Callithrix jacchus: one gene and its partners. The protein of the gene in region 2 interacts with the protein of the main gene of each other region in a pairwise test. Links are inferred from orthologs where the notes say so. Each region holds a gene or a part of one and is shown on either strand. Other genes may lie near its edges.

Region 1 (6,208 bases), on a different chromosome or scaffold from region 2:
CCATTTTTAGCCTCTTGGGGCTGATTCTATTTGTATTGCTGCTCAAAACATGCTCAGAACTAATGACTTTTTTCATCTTTCTAGTCAGTGTACTTGGTAATGCTGAATACTCAGAGAGAGCAATAGAGTGTTCTACACCATGTTTATTATTCAAGTGCACCTTCTGGGACTTTCTGGGACTTCTCATCACCAGATTCCTGACCTTCTTTTCAATCTGTCTGGCAAGTACTCAACTTGCATAATTTCTTTTAGTCAGTAATGGAAAACTGAAACTTGCAATTAACTCTCAAGTAAGAATTATATAACTATGTATGTATATATATATATATATATACATCCTGCAAAGTGATCCTAAAAGACGTTTCAGTGAGAACTGATTTTTTTTTTCATTAACTGTCTCTTATGATACCAATTTGCTCCTTTCTTCTTCTGGAAGAATGCAAATTAAATCCACTCTGTTAATAGCAATTTCTGGATATTAAGAAGGACCTGGTCATATTGTTTTTTCAGCTTCTGCTCAGAAATAAACTGTAGAGGATATAGCATCAAATTCTTAGCTTGACATTCAAAGCCTTCCACAGAAGGCTCCAACTTTCCATCCTAGCCTATTTCCTCCAAGCTTCTTACTCCACCCAAATTGACGGGCATTTTCAGGGTTTGCTAACTGTAGAGTGGGCTTGCCTAATGTGATGTTTTGCATATGCTGTGACTTCAACTTAGCAGAATTCTCCCACCTCTCTGCAAGCTCCAAAAGCCACCTCAAGGCCTGCCTCTTCTCTCAGGTGGTCCCACTCTACTGTGATATTGCCCTCTTGAATTTATGTTCCCTATTTTTGGTCACATTCACTTGGAAATTAATCACATATATCATAATAATTTTTCTTCTCATGTTTTATTGCATTTTCATTCTGGTTTTATTTATTAACTTATTGTTTATTGCTTTTATTAAGATTGCTAGATACTAAACTTATTAAGGTCAAGGCAAAACCATGAGATTTTATATCTCCCATGGGATTCATTTATTTATCTGGTGCATACAAGTTGATCAATATCTTTCTATCCGGTTGGTCCTTGCTGACAAGGGATGACATTGCAGAAATGTTTCTAGTGCTGAGGCTTAAAACATGGATTTTTCCTTCCTTTATAGAATTGTAAAGCAGTCCCATAATGTGAGAAACATTGTTTATTCACAGTGCATTATCTAAAAAGCAGATTATCTGTTTTTCTTCTTCATGTCTCCTCTCTCAACCTCTTACTCAAATTCTTTTTCTCATTTTTACTCATTGTCAAAACCTACGCTGTTAGGCTGAAGGCTGACTGCTACGCAGCTTCTAGGTGTCACAGGCAGAGATATGTCTTTCAGCTGATAACACTCACTCAAGGGTTAACATTTAGAGCTTAGGAATGTCTTTAGACAAGCTAATTAAGGGGTAGTTTGTATTGTGTTTGTGCATGTGTGGTCGTGCGTGTTTAACAAAGTAAAATAAAATTGTAAATTTTGGGGAGATTTTGCCATGAAGAGGTTAAGAGGATTGTAAGTTGTTTTGTAATTTGAACGTTGAGGTGGTAATGCAGTAAATGTCGATGAACAAAAACAGGCACCGGAGGGTCTGTGTGAATGACTCTTGGCTCATCCTACGTCCATCTACGCCTGCCTCTTCTCACCGCATTGCCCTGGATTTTAAAAATTCAAACTTAAAATAGGAAATTTCTCTATTTTTTCCCCCTGAAGCTTGTCAATGATATAAATGTTAGATACATAGTTCAATTATATATTTTTTAAATTTCTCAGTAAGCTATTCTAAAATTAGCTTTCTAATTGTGCAAATTGCTTTTTCCCCTCAGCTCTGTGCCCTTTGCCATCTTTACTGCAGTCCTCTACTTCCCCCCCTCCTTCCCAGTTTTCCACTAGCAAACAAACCCAGCAGTAATTGCTAATGTCCAAGCACGTAATTCTGGCAGCATTAGGCTTTTCATTTGACGCAACTACGCAGAGAGCTGTCTGGACATGCAGCATGAAGTTAAAGCATTTTTAAAGATTCCTGCCCATATTTTCTTCTCTTCTCTCACCGCTAAAACACAGTTGTTTATTTATTTTGTCTGCAGATGCAGAGTTTTAAACTTCTTTTATACATTTACATACTCTTATATAAATGTCCACTCGAATAATTTTACATCCATGCACAATAACAGATCAACATATACATACATGGAAACACATGGTCATCCACAAAAAGAAAAAAACACTAGGAAATAATTGAATAGCTAGGAATGAAATCGCCTTCTGTATATGAACAGGGAACTTTAGTATCTGTAGTTTACGGAAGATTGGAGGTATGACTATCTAAACACAATCCAGGGTCTAATTTGGGGTCCTTTAAGGGGATCATTATAGCATTTCTTTAATGTGTTGTATAGATTCTTACATATGACGCTGTTACCCTCTTTTTGCTAACTACTCGAATGGCGTAATTTTGATACTGGTCATTTTATGCTAGTTTTATCTATATTAAACAGAGAGAAGTATCCCTGATGACTTTTGCTTTCTCAGATGCTCCAAGCCTCAGAATGGAAAATGGTTAAAGTAGTTATCACCACCTCAGCAAAATCCTGCAGTGCCATAAGAGAAATTGCAGTAGGTCTTTTAGGTCAGAGTTCAGTTCCAGTCTAACACCATGGTTCTTTACCTGCATTACCCTGAAGAACATAGTTGGATTCTCCTGAGGAAGACCAGGCTTAATGTTTTCAAAATCTGAAGCTATCAGCCTGCAATAACCAATGCTGATAGGAAATACTTCCAGTAACTCTGAAACCATGGCCAAAGAGGTTATACAGTATGGGACCTGTAATATTTATCAGATGTGTTTTTGTGGATGAATACTTGTGTTCATGCCTGATTGCAAGATGGGGGGAGAAGGAAAATAAACAGGGATTCATTTTTAAAGTTGATTCTGCTTAGTTCAGCTAATCTCAAATTGTTATCAAATGGAAACAGGTAGAGAGACGTATCCTCCCTATAAACAGATAGCATTGGCTTCTTCATATATACACTACTTATGCCCACCCAAGATCTGTAGACAGACCTACTCTGTGTTAAAAAACAAAACCCTTGATACCGTGCTAAAGGATAAATGCATATTTTTAAAAATGTATCTATTTTCTACCTAAAATAAGAGGCAGAAGGCAACACAGATTTCCACAAGTAGATTATTATTTTGTTGAAGCTATGAAGGTGAGGAGGGAAGCAGAAAATTGTCGGCAAAGGAGTCTCTGTGAGCAAGATTTATTTCTTTCTTGTTTTCTTTTAACCTACTATGACTGCTCTATTAAGAGTCTCCGTAAGACCGGGGTCTCAGAGAGACAATTTGGTCTCCAGCCCTGGCACATCCAGCCCTGGCCAGGCGTTTCTGCCGCAGGCAGATGCGGCGTTGCGGCCGGACCGCTGTCCCCGGTGCTGAAAGGTCGAGGGCGCCCGCGCGAGCCCTTGGTATTGCTATCCAGGGTGCTGAGCGCGGGCCGCCGCAGTCCCCGAGGCCAGCCCACCCGCGCCAGCCCTCCGCAGAGCCCTCCCACCCGGCACGACCCGCCCGCCCCCCGCCAGCCTGCAGTTGACGTGGAGCAGGCGGCATAAATCAAGTCCGCGGGGCATGGAGGCTGCTGTCGCTGCAGTAGCTCAGCTTGCCCGGGGCGGGAACTCCCCCTTCTCCTTTAGCCTCCCCAGCACCCACACCCTGTCTCCCCCTTAATTCTTCCCTGGATAATAGCACCCTAAAGACAACAGTCCTAATAATAGGGTTAGAACGACGTGGGGGGGGAACCCAACAGCCCTAAACATCTCTGAAAACTGCATGGCAAAATGGAAGAAAGAGGGGGTCCCACTACTGTTTCAAAAGAGTAAGTTATTCGGTACGTATCCTCGCTCTTCCTCCCTGTCGCTCCATTTGCAGGGCTCCCGTTTCCCCTTCCCCCGACAGCTCACCTCAAAAACACTTTATAAAGCCCCCACCAGACGTGCACACACGGAATACCGCACCCTAAGTGCACCAATACTTGTATTTACCCAAGCCCATTCGGACTGCCCAGCTGCTGTCCCTTCTGGGTATGCAGCCATCCCGAGCCAGAGCCACGACCTGGGGAGGGGGCTTCTTACCTGGGCTTCTCGGGTGGATGTGTTCTCCGGGCCTCTGCAGGTTGCAAGTGTGGAGGAGCCGCGGAGCAGGGAGGGAAGGAAAGACTGCGCCTGACCTCCCCGAGGTTTCGTCTTCAATGCAACGTGAGCTCTGCCCTCATCAAAGATGGCCGTCCGTCTTGACGTCAGCAGCTTTTAATAGCCGCCCGGCGAGGGGCGGGAGGAAGTGGGGGCGGGGCACCGGCGGGGGCGGGGGCGGGGCCCGAGCTGCGGCGCGCTTGACTCGGCTCCCCGTGCGCTGCCCTGCAAACAGCCGTGTTTTCGCCTTCTATAAACACCCGAACGGGGCGATTCTTGTGACTCCATTTTAACACTCAGTCTTGGGCAAATGCGTTCAACCCGCGACTGTATTGCTGATGTTCTCTGGTGCCTGTATGTGTACATATGCGTATGTGTATAAATGCATGTGTGTATATACTTTATAATACATGTATTATATGTATATATTTGTGTGTGTGTGTGCGCGTATGTGTATATATATATTTCCCCACATCCCACCCCGTTCAGTGGAATCTGTGGTTGAGTCATGTAAGGAGAAGGGAAGGTAGAGGAGGGGTAAAAGGTAGTGATGGGAGGAGTGGGGGGAAATTTTCAGCGGCGATTTGTTTCCTCCAAAGAGGGTCCGGAGGGGCATCCCCGTCCACCCTCGCCGGCTCCATATATGGCCAGGCTACGTGGGTTGCTATTTTTATGAGTGACTTCTTCATGTTACCGAAGCAGCGTCGAGGGCTTGCAGCTCCCTTTGCTGTGGTCAGCCGGGGAGCGAGGCTGGCGCACGTTATTTTGAAGTACGTCAGAGCCAGGCTCTCTGAGCTGTGGCAGGAGTCGGGGGAAGGAGAAGGAAAGCGGAGTTAGCCCAGCCAGCGTAGGTTTGCAAAGGCTGGGGGATACAAGTTGAGTTGTTTGCCTAGGGCAAAAACGGAGGACGCTGCTTTCGGTGGAATTTGCAGTCGGCACTCGGGTTGCGTGCTGGGTGTCTTAGGGGTACCCTACGGAGTCAGGGATGCCCCGAGGAAACCGTCCTAACCGCCGGGGGAGGTGGGGGCTTAGAAACAAGGACAGCTGGGACGCCGCCGAATCTGGTGGTTCACTGAGTACCTGTGCAGGCCTCCTCGGGGGCCCTTGGGTGCTCAGATCAGGGCGGGGAGACAAAGGCTACTTGTGCTGGTCATATTAGAGATTAAAAATGATAATGATAAAGCAACAATCCTAACTGTCCTTCCTGGCCGTGCACAGGTCTGGGGAGGGGGTGGTGCGCGGATAGCTCGGCGGTGGCCGCCTCCCGGATGATTCACAGATGTTGGGGAGGCTGTCGCCGGGCTCTCCACGGGTAGGGAGGGCTGGGGAGCGCGTGGGAGGTGGGGGACCTCGCCTGAGGAACTGTTTGTACTTTTCCGGGAAGGATGTGATTAGAAGTCGTGCCTCGCAATGTTAAAACTTGATGGCCTCTTTTAGGAGATGGAAAATCCTTGTCTCGCTTAGGAGAAACCATTCAGAGCTGGGTTTGGATAAACGGCGTGCAACCTCTCCCCCTGCACACACCTGCCCCACCAAACACACACACACACACAAACACACACACACACACACACACACACACACACACATCCCACTGGCCTGAGAGCCAAGCTCAAGCAATAATACGGCCTTTGATTGCACTCTATTGCGGAGGGAGGGAAGCAGGGAGGGGGGAAAAGAAGAAGAGTTGTGAAGGCTCTGCGTTTAGAAAGAGTGGGGCTTTTAAGAATTTAATAAAGGATACCTTTAATTGAAATCAGTAGACATCATTGTTTCTTAAAGATTCTCTGGCCTGAAAAGTTTTTTTTTTTGACATATTAATGTTTGCCATAATAATTAACAGTGTTTGGATGTTTATTAAAGCCATATTCCTAAAAAAAAAAAAGGCATGTTGCTGAAAGTTTTTTACTTAAATATTCATTAAACACTTAAGATTTCCATACAATAAAGAAGAAAATCTGCAAAGTCCTTAGATACTAATTGTCAAAAGTCTCCTGATTA
Region 2 (6,078 bases):
GTATTCACTCAACAAACATTTAATTGAGTTCCGCCAGGCACTGTTTTAGGCCCTGGTGGTACAGTGGTGAACCAAAGCCTTTGCCTTCTGAAAGGTACATGACAGGTACAATTATGTAGCTGAAGGTCATGGTCAATTGTTTTTTATTAGCAACCTAAGGCATAAAACTTAACCTGCCACTTGAAAAACTTTCTATCCGGGCCAGGCGCAGTGGCTCACACCTGTAATCCCAGCACTTTGGGAGGCCAAGGTGGGCGGATTACGAGGTCAAGAGATAGAGACCATCCTGGCCAACACGGTGAAACACCATCTCTATTAAAAATACAAAAATTAGCTGAGCCTGGTGGTGCGCACCTGTAGTCCCAGCTACTCGGAAGGCTGAGGCAGGAGAATTGCTCGAATCTGGGAGGCAGAGGTTACAGTGACCCGAGATCACGCCACTGCACTCCAGCCTGGAAACGGAGCAAGACTGTCTCAAAAAAAAAAAAAAAAAAAAAAAAAAGAAAGAAAAAGAAAAACTTTCTATCCACTTCAGAAGCAGGTCTCAGGAGATGCTCAGCAAGAAGGAAGCCACTGGTTTCCAACTTCCCTATGCAAGAGAAATTCCTGGAGAAGGCAGTAAAAATACCAACTCCAGGGCTCCACCTCCAGCTGTCGGGTGAGGTGACAGAAACCTGTATTTATTTTTATGTTATTTATATACTTACTTACTTTTTGGACACAGGCACTCTGTTGTCCAGGCTAGAATGCAGTAGGACAATCATGGCTCACTGCAGCCTCGATCTCCTGGGCTCAAGTGAACCAGATCCTCCCACCCCAGAGTCTAGAAGAGCTGGGAATATAGGCACGAGTCATTATGCCCAGCGCATTTTTTTTTTTTTTTTAAATTATTTCAGAGGCAAGGTTTCTCTATGTTGTCCAAGGTGGTCTCAAATTCCTGGGCCCATGCTAGCCTCCTATTTCAGTCTCTCAAAATGTTGGGATTCCAGGCTTTAGCCACCATGCCCAAAACCTGTATTTTTAACAAGTGCCTCCATTAACACTGAGGTAAATGATCCGTGGTCCACACTTTGAGAAACCCAACCAGTAAGTGGAGCCATTCAGGAGGAAGTGATCATTCAGAAGGCAATAGCTCTATGGCAGAATAATCTGAGGTGTGTAATATAACCCCAACTCTCATGTCATTAATTCTCTACAATTCGCAAATTTTAGCAAATTAAAAAGAATAGAGTAGGGGAATTTGGATGAGGCACAGTGGCTCATCCCTGTAATCCCAGCTCTTTGGGAGGCCTAGTGTCTAGGTGGGAGAATCCTTTAAGGCAGGCTTTTTAGACCAGCCTGAGCAACATAGAGAGACCCTGTCTCTAGAAAAAAATTTGAAAACTAGCTGGGCATGGTGGCATGCACCTGTGGTCCCAGATACACCAGAAGCTGAGGCAGGAAGATCACTGAAGCCCAAAAGTTAGAGGCTGCAGTGTGCCATGATTGCGCCACTACACTCCAGCCTGAGTGACACAGCCAAACCCTGTCTTAAAAAAAAAAAGTAAAGGCATTTACCATCAGCTCCTCCTTCATCTCTTGCAGGAGCTTGATAGTTTGTCCCAAACTAGGCATTTGGGGAAAAGATAAACTTGAGCAGAGGTTCTACTACCAATATTAAAGATAAGCTTTAAGAAAAAGAAAATTGCTAGTCAACTGCCAAGAAAAAAAAATGCCAAGAGAGACAAACATTTCACAGAACTAACTTGCTACCCTATTTTATGCCCTATTTCACAATGCTTAGTATCTGAGCAATCCACAGGGTTCCAAAGTACATTAAAAATTTGTTCATCTCCTCTCTTACTCAGGCAGAATAATAATGGAGATTTCTGAAGGTACCATGCGCCTCAGCAATTTCAACAGATACATTCTTAGATAAAGAAATACCATTTTTTAAAAAAGATCATACTATCAGAAATGATCTTTAATGGATTACTTAAGGGTGTCTGAAGTAATTTTAACACCATCATCAAATTAGTGTCCCTCATTCCTTAATTTATATGACTTAAAAGTCCCTGGATTCTTTACAAATCCACCTGCAGAAAGGATTTTTCTTTCACATGTATGTATTTTTTAATGTTTTTACTAACAAGGAAGCTCCCATCAAAATAACGTTTCCAGCAAACCAGTAAAAGAAATTTTAAACAGAAACATATTTTGTTCTCAGAGATAAACTAAGAAATAATAACTATGAAGGGTGTTTAAGCTTCTGCACTCTCAGCCTTAAAGTCATCTAAAAACAAAGATATCCAAAAAATACATTCCATCTATTCATATTTTGGGGGTTTAGAGTGGCACCATGCAAACCAGCTGGCCTGCTGGGTCCTGGCCCCAGTTCCTGCCCTCACATCCTGTCCACTACATAATCCATGAGATCTCTGTGCCTTTCTCTTCATCCGTTCCACGGGATTAGCAAAACTGCCTCCCCGCTGACAGAACTGAGAATTTCTAGCGGCATTTGTTTGTATGGAATTTGCTGTTATTATCCACCCTCTCATTGGCTCTGTTTTTATTATCTGTACGTTTTGATCAAGAGGGAACAGCAAGAGAAGAATGCCAATAGACAGGCACAAAGAAACGCATCTGGCCGGAGCCTGCATATATTTAAATTTCCAGGTTGCTGCTGCCCTCAGAACAGCACGATGATGGCAAAGTTCTAGAGGAAACTTTCATATTGAAGAGGCTATAAAAATCTCCATCGCCTCCAACTCCACAGAGAAGAAGCTAATCTATTTCTTCCAAAGCAAAGCCTTCTCGAGTCTGAATCAAAACAAAAGATTGCCCATAGGAAATGTAATCTCCGAAGTTGTTTTCGAATCCCAAAGCAAGCAGAAGCGCAGGAAGGTGCGGCCGACTCCTCGCCGGTTTCCTTTCCTTGGGAATTCTGATGGCATTCCCTCGTGCAAGCAAGCGGCCGCAATTGTGCCTTGGGTCCACACCACAAAACCGTGTCGGTGCGTAAGAAGGGAAGGGACGCGGCAGACCCGGGGACGCGCTCACAGGGCGCGGGAGCCGCTCTCGGTTAAATGCCTTTAGGGGCGGCCCCGCGGCGCGCCCTGGGGCCGAACGGCATTGCCTGCCCTTCACTGACCCAGGATTCTGCAGGCTCTCGAGTGAGGAGCCGAGGAAGGAGCGGGGGCTCCAGGCAGAGGCGGCGCCGCTCCCGCCAGCGCGGGTCCCCGGGAGGCCAGCGGGAGGCGAGGCCGGGCCGCCCCGCGCCGGTGGCCGAGGGCAGCGAGGTCAGCCCGGGAAGAAGCGGCCGCCCGGGGTCTCCGCGGGAGGAGAGAGCCCGCTCGGCGACGGGGCCGCGGCGCCCATTCATCCCCACGCCGGTCCCGCGGCCGCCACGCCACGGCCCGCCGCGGCCCCCGGCCTCCCGGTGCGGGTCCGCCCGTCGCCCCGTCGCCCCGCCGCCCCGCCGCCGCCCCCGAGGACGGGAAGGACGAGGCGGAGGGGCGGCCGCTGCCGTCTCCCGGGCGCGCGGCGAGGAGCGAAGGGCGGCCGGGGGGACAAGCACCGGGCGCGGGACGGACGCCCCGGGCGGCCATCGCGCCGACCCCCGCGCCGACCCCCGCCCCCGCCGCCGCCCGCGATCCAGGCCGCCGCCGTGCAGCCCGCTCCTCACCTCATCTCCGGGCGGGTCCGCGCTACCGCCCCAGGGACAAATCAGTGCCGCTCACGCGCCGCGGGGAGGGACGCAGGAGCCGCAGCCCCGCAAATCATCCCCGCCCGCCTCTCCGTCCGTCCCGGAGCCCGCTCGGGGTTCTTCCTCGCGAGCCGCCGTACTACGGAGCAACCAAGCTGCTCTCCCTCCCCCGGCGCCTCCACTCCTCTCTACCTCCTTCTCTCCCTCCCTCGCTCCCTTGCTCCCGCCTATCTCCTCATCTCCCTCCGCTGCCTCCTCCGCCCCCATCCACCCCCCCGTCTCCGCCCACAAGTGGGTGGAAAAACCTCCTGCCAATCGGAAGAAGAGGCTCGCACCTTCTCACCGCCCCCTACCGCTGGCCCCACCCACCGAGCAAACCCAAGGAGGGAGAGCCAAAGAACTGTAAGACAACAGTGACAAGCCAAATGAGCCAATCAGCAGGCGTTGAGGGGGGGGGCGAGATTAGCACTCCTCTCCCCGCGACGTAGGCGAAACCGGGGATTTCTTGTCTGATGTTGCCCTATCGTGGTTTATGGAGATTTTGCTCCACGATTTCGGCGCATCTGCTCGTTCCAGTGCAAGACGCTAGATAGGATGCACTTACTAAGTTAATTATTGGAGGTTTTAAAGGAGAGAATAATGTGGAAAGGAAAAGAGAGGCGAAGCACCACCCAAAGCGGTTGGCAGGGGCAGTGGTTGGAATGAGGAAGGGTGTGGTCTTCAGTTAGAATTTGCATAAAACGGAACCCATGCAGGCGATTCCCACTTCGCCCATTTATTGGTAGCCCTTAGGGCTGTGCCTCGCCTCTTCCCCCGCCCCCGAGCGGAACCTGCCGGGAGATGTAGTTTCGAGACCGGTTGCCATGGCGTCCTCGACAGCCTCGCAAGTCCGACCCCGCCCTTCAGGAGTGACGAGCCACCTGACCAATGCGAGCGGGGGGCGGGCTCTCTGCGGAAGGACTTGAAGGTGGCGGTGGCGAAGGTGCAGGCCGTTGGGGCGGATCAGAGGCAGGTGAGCCCCAGGAAACGCGTTCTGTGTCTTGAGAAACGGGACTTTAAGCGAAAGGTGGAGAGATGCCCCACGAAACCGTGCAGCCCTGGGGAGGATGGTGGTTCGCGTCGAACCCCAACCGGAGACTCTTTCGGGCCCAGGCCTAGCTTAGCTGAGGCCGCTGAGGGGCGGGTAAGACTAGATTTGAGGGACAGTTTCCTGGACCTTGACGGGTTTTGATTGTAGGTCTTATCTCAGTTTGCATCTCCCTCTACTTTTATGGAGACCGAGGTCTGGGAGTGCCCTTCCACTCAATCTCCCAGGTTGAGTCTTTCTCCACTGTTGCTTGTTTCTAGAATTTGAGTGTGTTTTTCTTCCTCTGTTACTTCTTCTCAGCCACTTCTTTCTTCCTCATCCCTTTGCTGTATTCGGAAAGCAGTTAGTAATTATTCGCTGTATGTGGCTTTCGAGCCAGATCTGCCCTCTTCATTCCGCTAAACAGCGGAATAATCTGGAGCGAGATGTAAGCATTGCCTTGGAGTAGGTCTGGGTAGAAGCCAGAAACATCTGCGTTTCTAAGAAGCTCCCAGGTGTGGCTGTCCACGTTATGAGCAGCAAGGTTTTACCTAAACTCTGTCCAGTACAAATATACTGCGAGCCCCTTATGTCATTTTAAGTTTTGGGGTAGCTACATTTAAAAAGTGAAAAGAAACTTCGTGAAATTAATTTTAATTATATTCTTCATTTAGCCCAGTATATCCGAGACATTACTGTTTCATCGCTTCATCAAATATTTTTAAATTGAGATGTTACGTTCTTCGTATTAAATCTTCGAAATCTGATGTGTATTTTCCACTTCCAGCACATCTCAATTCCGACTAGACACAGTTGGAGTGCTCAGTAGCCACCTGTGCTAGTGGCTGCTACCGTAGCCCACTGCAGAAATTAAAAGGTGTGAAAAGTAAGGTTGCATTGACGAAACCCTTTGCAACTCTGTGAGATGGGCTTCAGAACTACTTTAGAGATTCTCTGTAATTGAAATATGCCCAACTTACAGAAATAATAGTTAAAATAGCCAACATTTCTGAAAGTATGATGTTGCCCTGAGTGCTTTGCATGTACTATTTAATCCTTATGTCAACCCTTTGAGATAACTGCTGTTATTATCTAAGATATGGGATCTCGGGCCCAGAAGGTTAAAATTAAGTAGCCCAAAGTCATACAGCTGATAAGTAGGAGAGCCAGGATTCAAACTCGAGGCAGTTTTGACTTCTAAATCTGATCCAGCAGCCACTGCAGTGTAAAATTACTACTTTTTATTACTGATTTCCCTTCACTGATGCCTCTGTTCCAGCTTATAGCAGGGGATAAGATGTTTAGATTTGAGAGAGTTCCCCATACA
Region 3 (5,574 bases), on a different chromosome or scaffold from region 2:
GTCAGCTGTTTCATGACTCAGACATGCTTTCCAACTAACATAAATATCACTAAAAACTCCCACAAAAATAGCCTCATGTCAATACTTCCAAAGACTGTCAAAGAATTGAAAGAAATCTTTATTACTGAAAACACCAAAACACAGCTGTTTTTTCTCCTCTTACTATCAGGTAAGTCTTTTTGTATATGATTCGAAATAGCTGTTGTTTAGAGAAATCCAACTGTTAAAAGTACCTAACACCAAAGTTACCCTATTTAATATGCAGGGTGATAGAAAAATAATACATGTCAACTAACAAATGTATATATCCAGTGGCGCAGGTTGGGCCCATGAGCTTGCCTATGTTGAATTTCTGTTGTGTATTAGCTTAGCCTACCTAAGCAAGTTAACTTGTGCCCTTATCTGTAAAATGAGGGGCATATTACCTCCTTTACAGAAATAACAGCATTTGATTTTTTCCCTTCTTTGAGGTAAAATTTACAAAACGTACAAATTCAGTCAAGTTTTGACAAATGCATATACCTCATACTCCTTCCCAATCCACCTCTAATATCCCCCAAGGCAACCACTGCTACATTTTTTTTTCCTGCATAGATTAGTTGTACCTAGAAATACAGATTAGTTGTACATATATTGTTGTACATACATTGTACACAGATTAGTTGTATTCTAGAAATGAAATTGTAACGATGAAATTAACTTAGCTTGTTGAGATTTATTGGTAATTTTTGTTATATTTCATGTTGCTTTGAGTATTAGATTATCCCTTTTACTGCTGAACAGTATTCCATTGTATAAATATACTACATTTTAATTATCCATTATCTTATTAGTGAATACTAGGCTGATCCTAGTTTTGAATTAATTTCTCCTGTTTAAATACAGAGGATTAGATTTGCTGGTTCATAGGGTAGACATGTTTAGTTTTAGAAGAAATTGCTATGAGGAAGAGGTTCAGCATGATCCATTCTCCCATTAACTTTTTAAATCTAAGTACAACTGAGCATCCCTAATGGAAAATTTAAAATGCTCCAAAATCCTAAACATTTTGACTCCCATATGATGCATGGTGGAAAAATCCACACCTGATGTAATATGATGGGCCGCAGTTTTGTTTCATACACAAAATTATCTTCAGACTATGTGTATATGAAATATAAATTTCATGTTTAGACTCAGGTCCAGTCCCCAAAATATATGCAAATAATCCCCCTCCCTCCCTAAGAAAAACCCCTAAATCCAAAACACTTCTGGTCTCAAGCATTTTGCATAAGGGATACTCAATCTGTATAATATTTTAGTTTATCTCTCAAAAAAAAAAAAACACCTTGATTACCTTGACAGCATCAAAATATTGGCTAAGTTGAGCCCTCTTCTGCTCATACTCTACTTCTAGCTTTCTCAATTCTTTGTAAATATCTGGATTCTCTTTTTCATAGAGTCGCAGAATACGTTCAAAGGTTTCACGCAGCTTTTTACGCTTATCTTTCAGTACTTTCTCATTTAATTGTGGCTGTTGCACTGGGTTAAACTCTGAGAGAAAAAGCAGATTATGGGATTAAAGGAGGGGCCACTTCAATTAGTTATCAATAGGTTACGTAATAAAAAGCTCCATATATGGTGAAAAGTTTTAAAGAGCTCTAGATACGAAACATACTCTTTTCAACTTTATTCAAAGAACTACAATTTTATTAAAATCCCCACCCCTTTTAGATGGCCACTAATTTTACTTTTCTCAGAAATGCCACCAAATTAAGACTTCTTAATTAAGAGAGCCAATGCATGCTTTTTTCTGCCTTAACTAGTCTGTACTGAGTTTTATAAATTGTAACTGGAACCCTGATGAATAGTGTTGTCTTCACCCCTTTCCTTTTTTTTAAAAAGAATAACAAGTTTATCTTCTTCTTTAAATCCTATTAACTATTAATCTTGGTAATTTATTCAAATCCAGAAGGTGTAGTCTTACACCATACTATTCCTAGTGTGATTAGGAAAAGCATTGAATGTCTGAGTTTTAATCTCAGCTTTGCCACTACACAGCAGTGCGACCTTGAGAAAGCTATGTAATCTCGCTGTGCCTGAGTTTCCTAACCTGTAAAATAGGGATAGTACACCTACCCTAAAAAATTGTGAGGATTAGAAAACAAGTGGGAAAAAACTGGTGTGTAGCAAGATAACTACTCGAAAAATCTCAGTTATTACTATTTTCTCCTTTGAAAACAACACATAACATCTGGGGTCATTTAATGAAGGATTTCCTGATTCCCCAAGGAAAGTAACTGTCCTTGCTGATATTTAGACCAGAATAAAGAAGTAGGATCAGTTATAGCTGAACTGGGAAAGATCTGGAATTCTGGAGCCCAACCCAGAACTCTTACCCAGGCTAGCTGCCCAGATTCTCCGACATTATTTCAGAAACCTTTAATAGCATAATGCCATGACTGGATTTTTTGTACTCCATTTAATGTATCATTGAGGAGTTTCACTGCATCTCTTTTACTTACTACTCTGTTTTTGGACAAATCATAGAACTTGTAAAGATCACTTTAAAATACTATTTTAAAAAGATGACAAAGGGTAGAAGACAAAGTGGCAAAAATTTGCCAGGTGAAAAGCACATGGAAGTTAACTAGACTATTTTATTTTCTGCATGTTTGAAAATTTCTATTAAAAGAAACAAATAAAATATTCTGCATGCTCTAATATCAAACAGAAAGGGTATCTGTGGGTTAGGGTAAAGTTTCCCGCAGCGGCATCAATGATTCTCAAACTTGGATACAAAAAAACATAACATCCAGCCATTTCACGTGATTCCAGTTATATCAAAGCAGCGATACTTAAGATGCACATGGAGAGTGAATAAAATGATGCTATGGAATGTGAAAAAGGCAAAGAATCCTGGTATAGTATTTTATATATTTGGTTTTAGGTATTCGATGATTTTTTTCTACATCTTTGCTAAAAATTGGAAATTTTTGCTAAAAATTTGGATAAACTGGAAATGCCTTATATTCACAGTGGCCTGATACTTAGATTTACATGGTAGTTGCCAGCATTAAATAAAAGATGACAAACAAAAAACCCAAAGTTATTTCATAAACCAGATTCTTTTCCTGAAAAGCAAGCTGGCCAAACTGAGCTTCTGTTCTCTCATAGTAACAATTAGCTGAAAGCCAAATGACTGCTCCCCTCTCATTCTGGTATCTGGGGTCTCCAGTTTGCAACAGCCCTCTAGCACTCCATTTTGCCTCCCGAAACTAACATTAAATCCAAGCATCAAATGCTATTGCGCTGTTCTGTTTTACTTACGCCTATGCTGCTTCACTCATTACCTGTCTGCCTCTGTATGTACCAGACTGTTACAGCTGCCTGTTTGTAAATTCTTACCCATTTCATCCAATTTCTCCATGTCTCGGATAATCTGTTTTGGATCCTTCATCTTTAAAACGGCAGCTCGAACCATCATGCGCTGTTTTTTGTTCTTATAAAAATAAAAGAGGGGCAGAACGTCAACAAGTCAGACACTCATGAGTTTTATTTCAACTTGCTTTAAGAATCTAAACAGAATTTTGAACTCCTTGGCTTCTGATCACTTGTTTCAACCACCAGAAACAGCTATGTAATTTTTTTTGCTTTAAAAACGTTTAGACCTTTCAAAAAGATGAATGCTATTTTTAAGATGTGCTTTCTTAGGAAAGCATTTCTTTTAACTCTGTGAGATCTTTAGCAGTTACTTAAACACACATACATACTTTAAATTTCTTTTTTTTCTACCTCTTATTTTCTTAAAGACTTCGGGTGATTGTTCCTGCCCCCTGTTCTAAAACCTCTGCTAGCTGAATTCCAAAATTTTCTTTATCAAAAAAAAAAAAAAAAAAAAAAGCTCAAAGGTTTAAGTGCTGAAATTATATAAAGAATATTTCGGCTGGGTGCAGTGGCTCACACCTGCAATCTCAGCACTCTGGGAGGTTGAGGTGGGCAGACCAAAAGGTCATGAGTTCGAGACCAGCCTGCCAGTATGGTGAAACTCTGTCTCACTAAAAATACAAAAATTAGCCAGGCGTGGTGGCAGGTGCCTGTAGTCCCAGCTACCTGGGACGCTAAGGCAAGATAACTGCTTGAACCCAGGAGGCAGATGTTGCAATGAGCCGAGATTCCACCACTGCACTCCAGCCTGGGTGACAGAGCAAGAATTCGTCTCAAAAAAAAAAAAAAAAGATTTAAAAATTTTGCAGAATTTAATGCTAAACATGAAGACACAATTGAACATTATTTAAAATCTGTGTCGCTTCTATGTATTAAGGCACAATACTATAAAGCAAATTCTTTCTTATTCCGTTGAAGTACTTAGTCACAAATCCAACAGCTAAGAGGAAAATGCTAATTAGGAAAATGGATACATAAAGCTAATATAGCTATAAATATTAGAAACCAATATATATAGTTAAGCTAATGTAATATACATAATATACAGCTAATCAGGAAAATGGATATATAAAGCTGTCTAGCATCATATTTATTTCCATTCTCATCAGTAGGCTTTAAAAGTTATGTTTTAATAAATAACAAAAAAGAATGATTTTCAAAAGTATATAACTCATTGGGAAAAGTAGTCAAATATCATTATAACCTGTGTGAGCTTCTCTGCAAAGTTACTTCAGTTCCTTAGTAAATTTTGGCTTAGTTTATTTCACAGTTTTTATAAAAAGCATAAAGCATCTTTTCTCATAAAATTAGAAACGTTATTCTGAAACCCACTAATCCCAAATCACAAGATGTGCCAAACAATACTTAAAGTTTTACAAGACGCTTCTGAAATCATACCTTCTTTAATTCTCTCTTCCGGGCTTCCTTTCCTTTAAAAGAGAGGGAGATATAATAAAACTTTTGAATCTTGAACGTTAGCATTTCCTCCAATTTAATACAGGCAAGTCTTAACTGTGGGGAGTTATAGTATGCACTGTAAAATAGCAGCATCTTTGGCCTCTATTCACTACATGCCAATAGCATCCCTCAAATTACGACAAAAATGTGAAGACATTTTAAATGTTTCATAAAAAACAACTATGAGTCTGAAGGAAAAGGATAACATAAAATGCTAAACAAGGGCTTGCAAAACTAATTTGCTCAAAATTTCAAATACAAAGAGAAAGCTTTCAGCCAATTCTACTGTGCAAGTCAATCAAATTTGAAAAATATTGTTACTAATTTATTTATTTGCATGTTTAAAGTCTTAATCATGTGCCCATACAAACACTAAATATACAATTTACTCCTCTTATCACTGCTGGTCTTGCAATTAAGCCACAGGGAAAGAAACCCCCTAATATTTGCAATTTTTAACACCATCCTACTTCATCATTCCACACCAATGGCCACTTACGGGCTTGGTCTGTGGGGTTCATAAATTTTCCACTCTTGGTGGATGACGTAGATCTCCGTCCCATGTTGACAATCTATATGGTTTACTTGTTCATTAAAAAAGAAAAACCTGTGAAGGTGAAAACAAAGAAACAGCTTATATCTTCTATATTTATTTATTTCTTTTTCTAGTCCTTACTAATTTCTGAAAAG
Region 4 (6,103 bases), on a different chromosome or scaffold from region 2:
GAAGTTCATAAATAGGTAAGCGGTGTCTCCATGTCTGTCTGAACACTTCGTGCTCTTAACCATTTCGTTTATAGTTCTCAGACTTTAATTTATTTTTAAATTTTTAAAAATTTTAAAATTTTGTGGATACACAGTAGACATATGTATTTATGGGACACATGAGATATTTTGATACAGGTATGCAACGTGAAATGACCATATCATGGAGAAGAGGGTATCCATCCTCTCAAGCATTTATCTTTTAAGTTACAAATAATCTAATTATACGCTTAAGTTATCTAAAAATGTACAATTAAGTTATTCTTGACTATAGTCAGCCTACTGTGTTATCGAATAGTTGGAATTATACTTTCTATTTTTTTTGTACCCATTCACCATCCTTACTTCCCATTCTCAGACTTAAATTTCATGATTCAATAAAATTAAAACAACTACCAATCTTGAGGACAGACATAGCATAGCATTGTTACTTTCTATCACCATCATTATTTGGTAGAAAAGCAGGAAGGACACACTCAGAATAAAAGACAGTCCTTTGAAACTTATCAAATCTAGCTTTATTAAAAAAAAAAAAAAAAAGAAAGAAACCAAAAAACTCACATATCGTTCTTTTGGAGGTGGGGTGTACTCAGTGAACTTTTGTCTCTCTGACCGGTGACCCTCCAAGGACTGGCATTTTAAAACTCCTTTACAGATGCCACCTTGGAGCCCCTGGGAACCCAAGGATGGGATGTTTCCCAAGATGTTTCCTGAGCTTGCAGGATGCTGCAACACTTAGAAATCGTGCCAAACCAAGTGACTATTGAGTTCTCCTCCCCAAGCCTCTATCCCTTTCTCCATAGTCCTACTGCTTTCCTATCCTGTTCCTGATGTTGGACTCTTTTCTTTCAGTTCCCTTAAGACTCAAGGTGGGTTAGAGGTGTAGCCCCAATGTGGGAAACCCCGCTCAGCTGAGTTCTGAGTAGTTAGGTCTTGTCTGGCCAGGCTATCAGAGTCTTACTTTTGTCCCACAGTGTCTAAGTGACCTTAACACTCACCAGACAATTGCTGAGCAGAACTTTCCTCTCCTCCTCCCTTCTCCAATCCACCCCATCCTTCCCCTTGGCCTAGAACCTCAACTTCTGCAGTCCAACTCTGTTGGTCAGCAGAGGCCTGTGACGTGGAGAAAAATCAATTTGGCCAGCTTCTTGGTGGTTCTTTCCAGGGGCTGCAGCAGGAGTCTGACCCAAAGGCAGGAAGGACAAGGAATCTCTGGGCTTGGCACATCTTTTTTGGGGGGTGTTGGGTGGGAGCAGGGGCTGAGGTATTGGGACTCTATCCTCCAATGGTTACTGAGAGAGGAAGAAACACACACACTGAACTTGCCTGAAACCCAAATGCAGGTGTTTGCCGTAGATTTCAAAGTCTCTCTGGCCTTACACATCTCCATCATTGCCCCTCCTTCACTGCTTTCTGACTCCCTTTCTCTTGCAAAAATGTTTCCTGCCCACCTTAATCCCATCCTCAACCAAGGACACAAAAATAAGAATTGTGTCTGGTTTTGAATTCCCATAACCCAGAATGGGAGTTTGTCTTCCCTGAAACTGGGGACCTGGTGTGAACCTTGGGGAGACAGTAGAGTGCACCTTTGGATGTGGAAGGGGAAGGGAGTAGCCAGAACCTCCCTGACACTCATCTGACACCCACCTCCATAGAACTACAGGCAGCGGTCCCCCAGAAGGCTGAGTGGGTTAGGAGTCCAGCTTCCATGCCTGTGGGGTGTGGGATGGGGTAAGGGGAGAATGAGAAGTGTGACCCCAGTTTGGAGAGAGGACTGTGACGGGTTGGGGGATGCCCTGGAATAAAGGGAATGGGAGATCTGCTGACACTTTTCCCTACACAGGCGACAGGCCCATCTCAGTCCCCTTATCCTTTCCAGGGTGTGGAGTCTGAGGGAGGGACAAACGGGTCGGGGGTGTGGGGTGGGATGCAGTGAGTGAGTTGGGTGGGGAAGGGTCTAGGGCAAGGTTATCTCCCAACGTTAGGGGTGAAGGAGGGTGGAGAGGGGCGGTGAGGTCCCACCCTTCGGGGGTCGACGTCGAGCCAGCGCCCCCAGCGGAGGGAGCCCCGCCCCCGCTCCTCCATCGCGGCCCCGCCCAGGCCCGCAGCGCGGCGCTGCAGCGCGAGGGGCGGAGAGGCAGAGCGCCCGAGAGGACCAGACGCCCAGGTCGCCCGCATCCCGCTGCCGCAGGAGAGAGACAGCGCGTCCCGGCCCTGCTCCCCAGGCTTCGCTCGGACGCCCTCAACTCTGCCCCCAGAGACCGAGCACCTGTCTCGCCTTGGCCTCAGCTGAGCGCCCCCTCCTCTGGAGCACACACCATCCCTGCAACCAAGAAGTGTCCCAGCCCCACGCCGGCGACGACCATGGCGGAGACCAACAACGAATGTAGCATCAAGGTGCTCTGCCGATTCCGGCCTCTGAACCAGGCTGAGATTCTGCGGGGAGACAAGTTCATCCCCATTTTCCAAGGGGACGACAGCGTCGTTATTGGGGTGAGTGTTGCCCAGGAGGGAATTCGGGGAGGAGGCAGGTGATCGAATCTTTCCCCCACGCAGAGCCGTCGTCTCTGCCTGTCCCTCTGCGCCCCCTCCTCGCCGCTCATCCTTCATCCTCTTCCCCGCAGCCCCTCCTCTCCCCTGCATCAGGATGGCTGGGTGTGGCCTGGCCAGGCCAGCGGCCGAGTCTCCGCAGAGTGCAGGGGGCTACTTCTCTACCATTGGGAGACCCAGCTCCCCTTTGCTGCTCCCTGCAGCATCTCCGTCCCTTAGAGCCAGTCCTGTGTTTTTCTGATGTTTTCCCCTTCTCCACCTCCCCTCCCCTAGAGAAAGCTAATCTTCCCTTTGTTATTGGCTCAGATCTCTACCCCCACCTCTCAGGAAGGTAGGGGTAAGACTATTGGGTGGGTTAGATGGGAGGTGAACAGTCCAGGGTCTCTGCAGAGGTGTGGATGGGAGTGGGCTCTAAGATCAAACCCTCCATCACTCCCTAAAGTAGTTATAGCCTGAATTTGTGTGTGTGTGTGTTGGGGGGAACAGGTCTGATGAAGGGTTTACTGGGAAAGAAATGCATTGATGCCACACCCAGTCTTGGGGGGAGCCTCTGGAATCCTAAGATCAGGTTTGCCTTTCAGTCTCAGGTACAGTAGGAAGAGGGTTTCAGATTCCCCAACTGACCCCTCAAAGAAAAATACCCACACCCCGAGATCCTAGTAAGTACTTGCTTATTCATCCTTTCTCTTGAGGATCCAATAAAAAGTAGCCATCCACCTCTACATCATCAGGACAGCCCTACCCAAGGATAATATCTTAAAGGAACTAATATTTACAGTGGGCATGTTATTCTATGTAACCCCCAAAACTATACTTGGAAGTAGTATCAATATTTCCATTTTACAGATGCAGAAATTGAGGCCCAAAGAACTTGGTTAACTTTCTCAAGGTCATGCCATAAATCCATGGATCTGAACCTCAATCTGTGACTGCAAACCTCCCATCTCTTCCTATCACATTGTGTCCCCAGGTTTCTGTTCTGCACTTTCATCTGTAATGGCCCAAAGGGAAATTCTAGGCCTTGTGCACGTCCCCTTTCCTAGGTTGGTAGGGACCTCAGGCTGTGTGTGGGGAGAAAGGATGTGGGGTGAATCCTGTAGGACTTGAGGGGTGCTGGGCCAGGAAGTGAAAGTCAGCATGAGAAGGGAGGGGCAGGTATGAGGGCAGTCAAGGTCAGAGGTGCTACTTGTGTATCTTTATCCACAGTGCTTGGCACAGAGCACCTGGATACAGGTTTGTTAAAGGAATGAAGGAAAGAAGGGGAGGAAGTCTGGGCCTTCTGAGTCAGTGAGAATGGGACTTTGAGTAAACATACCTCTGGGGAGACCTGCTTACCGGTCCCCCACGGCCCCAGTCTGTCACCACCCTGCACCTTTACCCGCACTGTTAACTCAGATGAGTGCTTTTGTCTGTGTCTCTGTGTGTGTGTGTCTGTATATGTGTTTGCCACATGGAGAGGGCCTCTGTTTCTCTTTGCTTCAGGGACCTCTCCAGCCCTGCAGTCTGTTCAGTCTGGATGGGCTAAAAACAAACAAAACAACAACAACAGAACAATTCCTGGTTCAACTCTGGAGGCCCCTCTCCGAGTGTCCTGGGCAGCCAGCATGAGTTGTGAGAGTGGGAGCTTAAGGTCCCCCTGAGAGAAACGGGCGGGCGATAATGGGGAGCAAAACTTCTAGGCCCAATTTCCTTGCTCTGAAAGATTTTTCCAGTAAGTCTGAACCAACTCCTTTAGGCTCTCTGAGCGCTGGAATGGGGCAGGGGGTGATGTTGGGAAGAGGGGTTGTGGTGTCTCAGTCATTGGCCCAGCTAAACAGGAGAGACACAGTGGGAGGTGGGCGAAGAGGAGGGATGAAAAGATGCCCAAGGCCCCCTGCCGATTCCATCTCAGGTTCACAGCTGGAACTTCCTTGTCTGTTTTGCCTAATATCTGTAGGGCTGTACCTTTGTCTTGCTCTGTGTCTTCCCTCACCCTAGCCCTCCTTGTCAATCTCTTACTTGAAGATAAATGCTTACAGGGGCCATTTGTCTCAGGCAACATCCTTGGAGTTTGCTTTTTCAGACTTACTATTCATTCGTCATTTAGGGAATGAGGGTTACAGGAGACATGATTTTTAGGAGACCCTGGAGGGTCCCAACAAGGGAAGGAAACTCCTGCTCCTTTTTCTCTTTTCTCCTCTAGTTCTCTTTGGGGCCCACCAGGTTGGGAGCCGGCTTAGGAATTAATGGAGGAAGCTGCTTCAGGATGTCTGGGAAGGTGCGGGAAGAGCCAAGGTGGGAGGGAGAACCTTTCCCAGTGCAGCCCCTGCTCCTTCCTGTGACTGCTCTCCCCTTCGCCTCTGCAGCACTGCGGCTAGTGCTGAGCTTCAGAGTCCCTTCCCTTCGTGGGCTTTGTTCTGCTTGCTAGAGGGTAGGAGAATAAGCGGGAGAGACAGCTCCATGTGCCTTTTTTCTCCCCCACTCCTCTGACTTCTTCCCAGAACCTGGGGGATGGGGCTTAGCCAAAGTTAATGGCCTGAGTCATAGTAGAAGGGTGTCTGGGTCACTGTCTCTGTGTGGTGCCCATCTTGTTTTGCTCTTTGCACACTCAGAATCGAGTGTTGTTTTTGCACCAGACCTATTTAGGTGTCTCTCTGTCCTCTGCCTTGGTCTTTCTCAGCAGTGTCCCAAAACCTGCCGTCTGGGCTGCTGCATCTGTACCAGATGTGGGAGGGATGACAGTGAAGAAACACACATGTGTGCGCGTGCACACACACACACACACTCTCTCTCTCTCTCTCTCTTTCTCCTTCATTCAAGTGTCCACACCTACCTCCCTCAGGTCTCCTGATGGTTAAGTGGGTTCTTAATGCGAGAAACTCAGACCATTGATCCCTCACTTGGCGAAGCTAGGTTGGGACCTGCAGGGTTATTGGAGAAGAATCTGTATTGTTTGGAGTGGCCTGGGATATCTGAAGTGGGGAGCAGGGCTCTCCTTTGCTTCGGGGGAGTCTCATAAACAAAAATGGAGAGGGGAAGTAATGTTCACTGTGGCCAGTGTCTCTCCAGCGTTACCATGGCAACAATCCCCAGGGGTGTCACTATGGAAATCAGACCTGGCACTTGAAGTTCAGCTGATGCCAAATGCTTTACTGAGGGTTGAACAGGTTGGTCATCTTTGGACCCCTGATCTTAAACCCCCACCCCCACTTAGCTCTAGTCAGCACACATGATAGAAAATTACAGAAAGGTGCTGGGATACACAAATGGAAGAGGAGACACCAGGGAGGCTTGGAGTGCCGTGAAAGGAGAGCAAAGAACCCTGGACTGTGGGACTCTGAAGAGAGGCCCTTCAGAGCAGGCTTTAAGGAGCACTTAGACTGCTGAGGGTGGGAGAGAGATTGGATCTCGCGGGCATTCCTAGGAGGAGGAGGGATTCTGTGACTATTTCTAATTAACAACTCACAGAGTCTTCGATTACCTGGAGGTGGAGAGGGTGGATGGGAGTATTGCATACTTCTGAAAATTGGATTGA

The links.
Region 1: the proteins of ITSN1 (region 2) and SNAP25 interact in a two-hybrid assay, tested with the Homo sapiens proteins (2 studies listed by BioGRID and IntAct). The link is inferred for Callithrix jacchus from reciprocal best matches to the Homo sapiens genes ITSN1 and SNAP25.
Region 3: the proteins of ITSN1 (region 2) and WBP11 interact in a two-hybrid assay, tested with the Homo sapiens proteins (2 studies listed by BioGRID and IntAct). The link is inferred for Callithrix jacchus from reciprocal best matches to the Homo sapiens genes ITSN1 and WBP11.
Region 4: the proteins of ITSN1 (region 2) and KIF5A interact in a two-hybrid assay, tested with the Homo sapiens proteins (2 studies listed by BioGRID and IntAct). The link is inferred for Callithrix jacchus from reciprocal best matches to the Homo sapiens genes ITSN1 and KIF5A.

What each region holds. Positions count from the first base shown.
Region 1 is NC_133506.1:17,324,881-17,331,088, reverse strand, and holds the start of SNAP25 (synaptosomal-associated protein 25), read right to left. Parts: upstream 4,271-6,208; 5' UTR 4,151-4,270; intron 1-4,150.
Region 2 is NC_133522.1:39,729,036-39,735,113, reverse strand, and holds the start of ITSN1 (intersectin-1), read right to left. Parts: upstream 3,876-6,078; 5' UTR 3,665-3,875; intron 1-3,664. UniProt on the Homo sapiens protein: Adapter protein that provides a link between the endocytic membrane traffic and the actin assembly machinery. Acts as a guanine nucleotide exchange factor (GEF) for CDC42, and thereby stimulates actin nucleation mediated by WASL and the ARP2/3 complex.
Region 3 is NC_133510.1:8,528,796-8,534,369, reverse strand, and holds part of WBP11 (WW domain-binding protein 11), read right to left. Parts: intron 5,492-5,574; 5' UTR 5,448-5,491; coding exon 5,384-5,447; exon of another isoform or gene 4,857-5,383; coding exon 4,825-4,856; intron 3,482-4,824; coding exon 3,388-3,481; intron 1,534-3,387; coding exon 1,337-1,533; intron 1-1,336. UniProt on the Homo sapiens protein: Activates pre-mRNA splicing. May inhibit PP1 phosphatase activity.
Region 4 is NC_133510.1:62,145,864-62,151,966, reverse strand, and holds the start of KIF5A (kinesin heavy chain), read left to right. Parts: upstream 1-2,196; 5' UTR 2,197-2,403; coding exon 2,404-2,532; intron 2,533-6,103. UniProt on the Homo sapiens protein: Microtubule-dependent motor required for slow axonal transport of neurofilament proteins (NFH, NFM and NFL). Can induce formation of neurite-like membrane protrusions in non-neuronal cells in a ZFYVE27-dependent manner.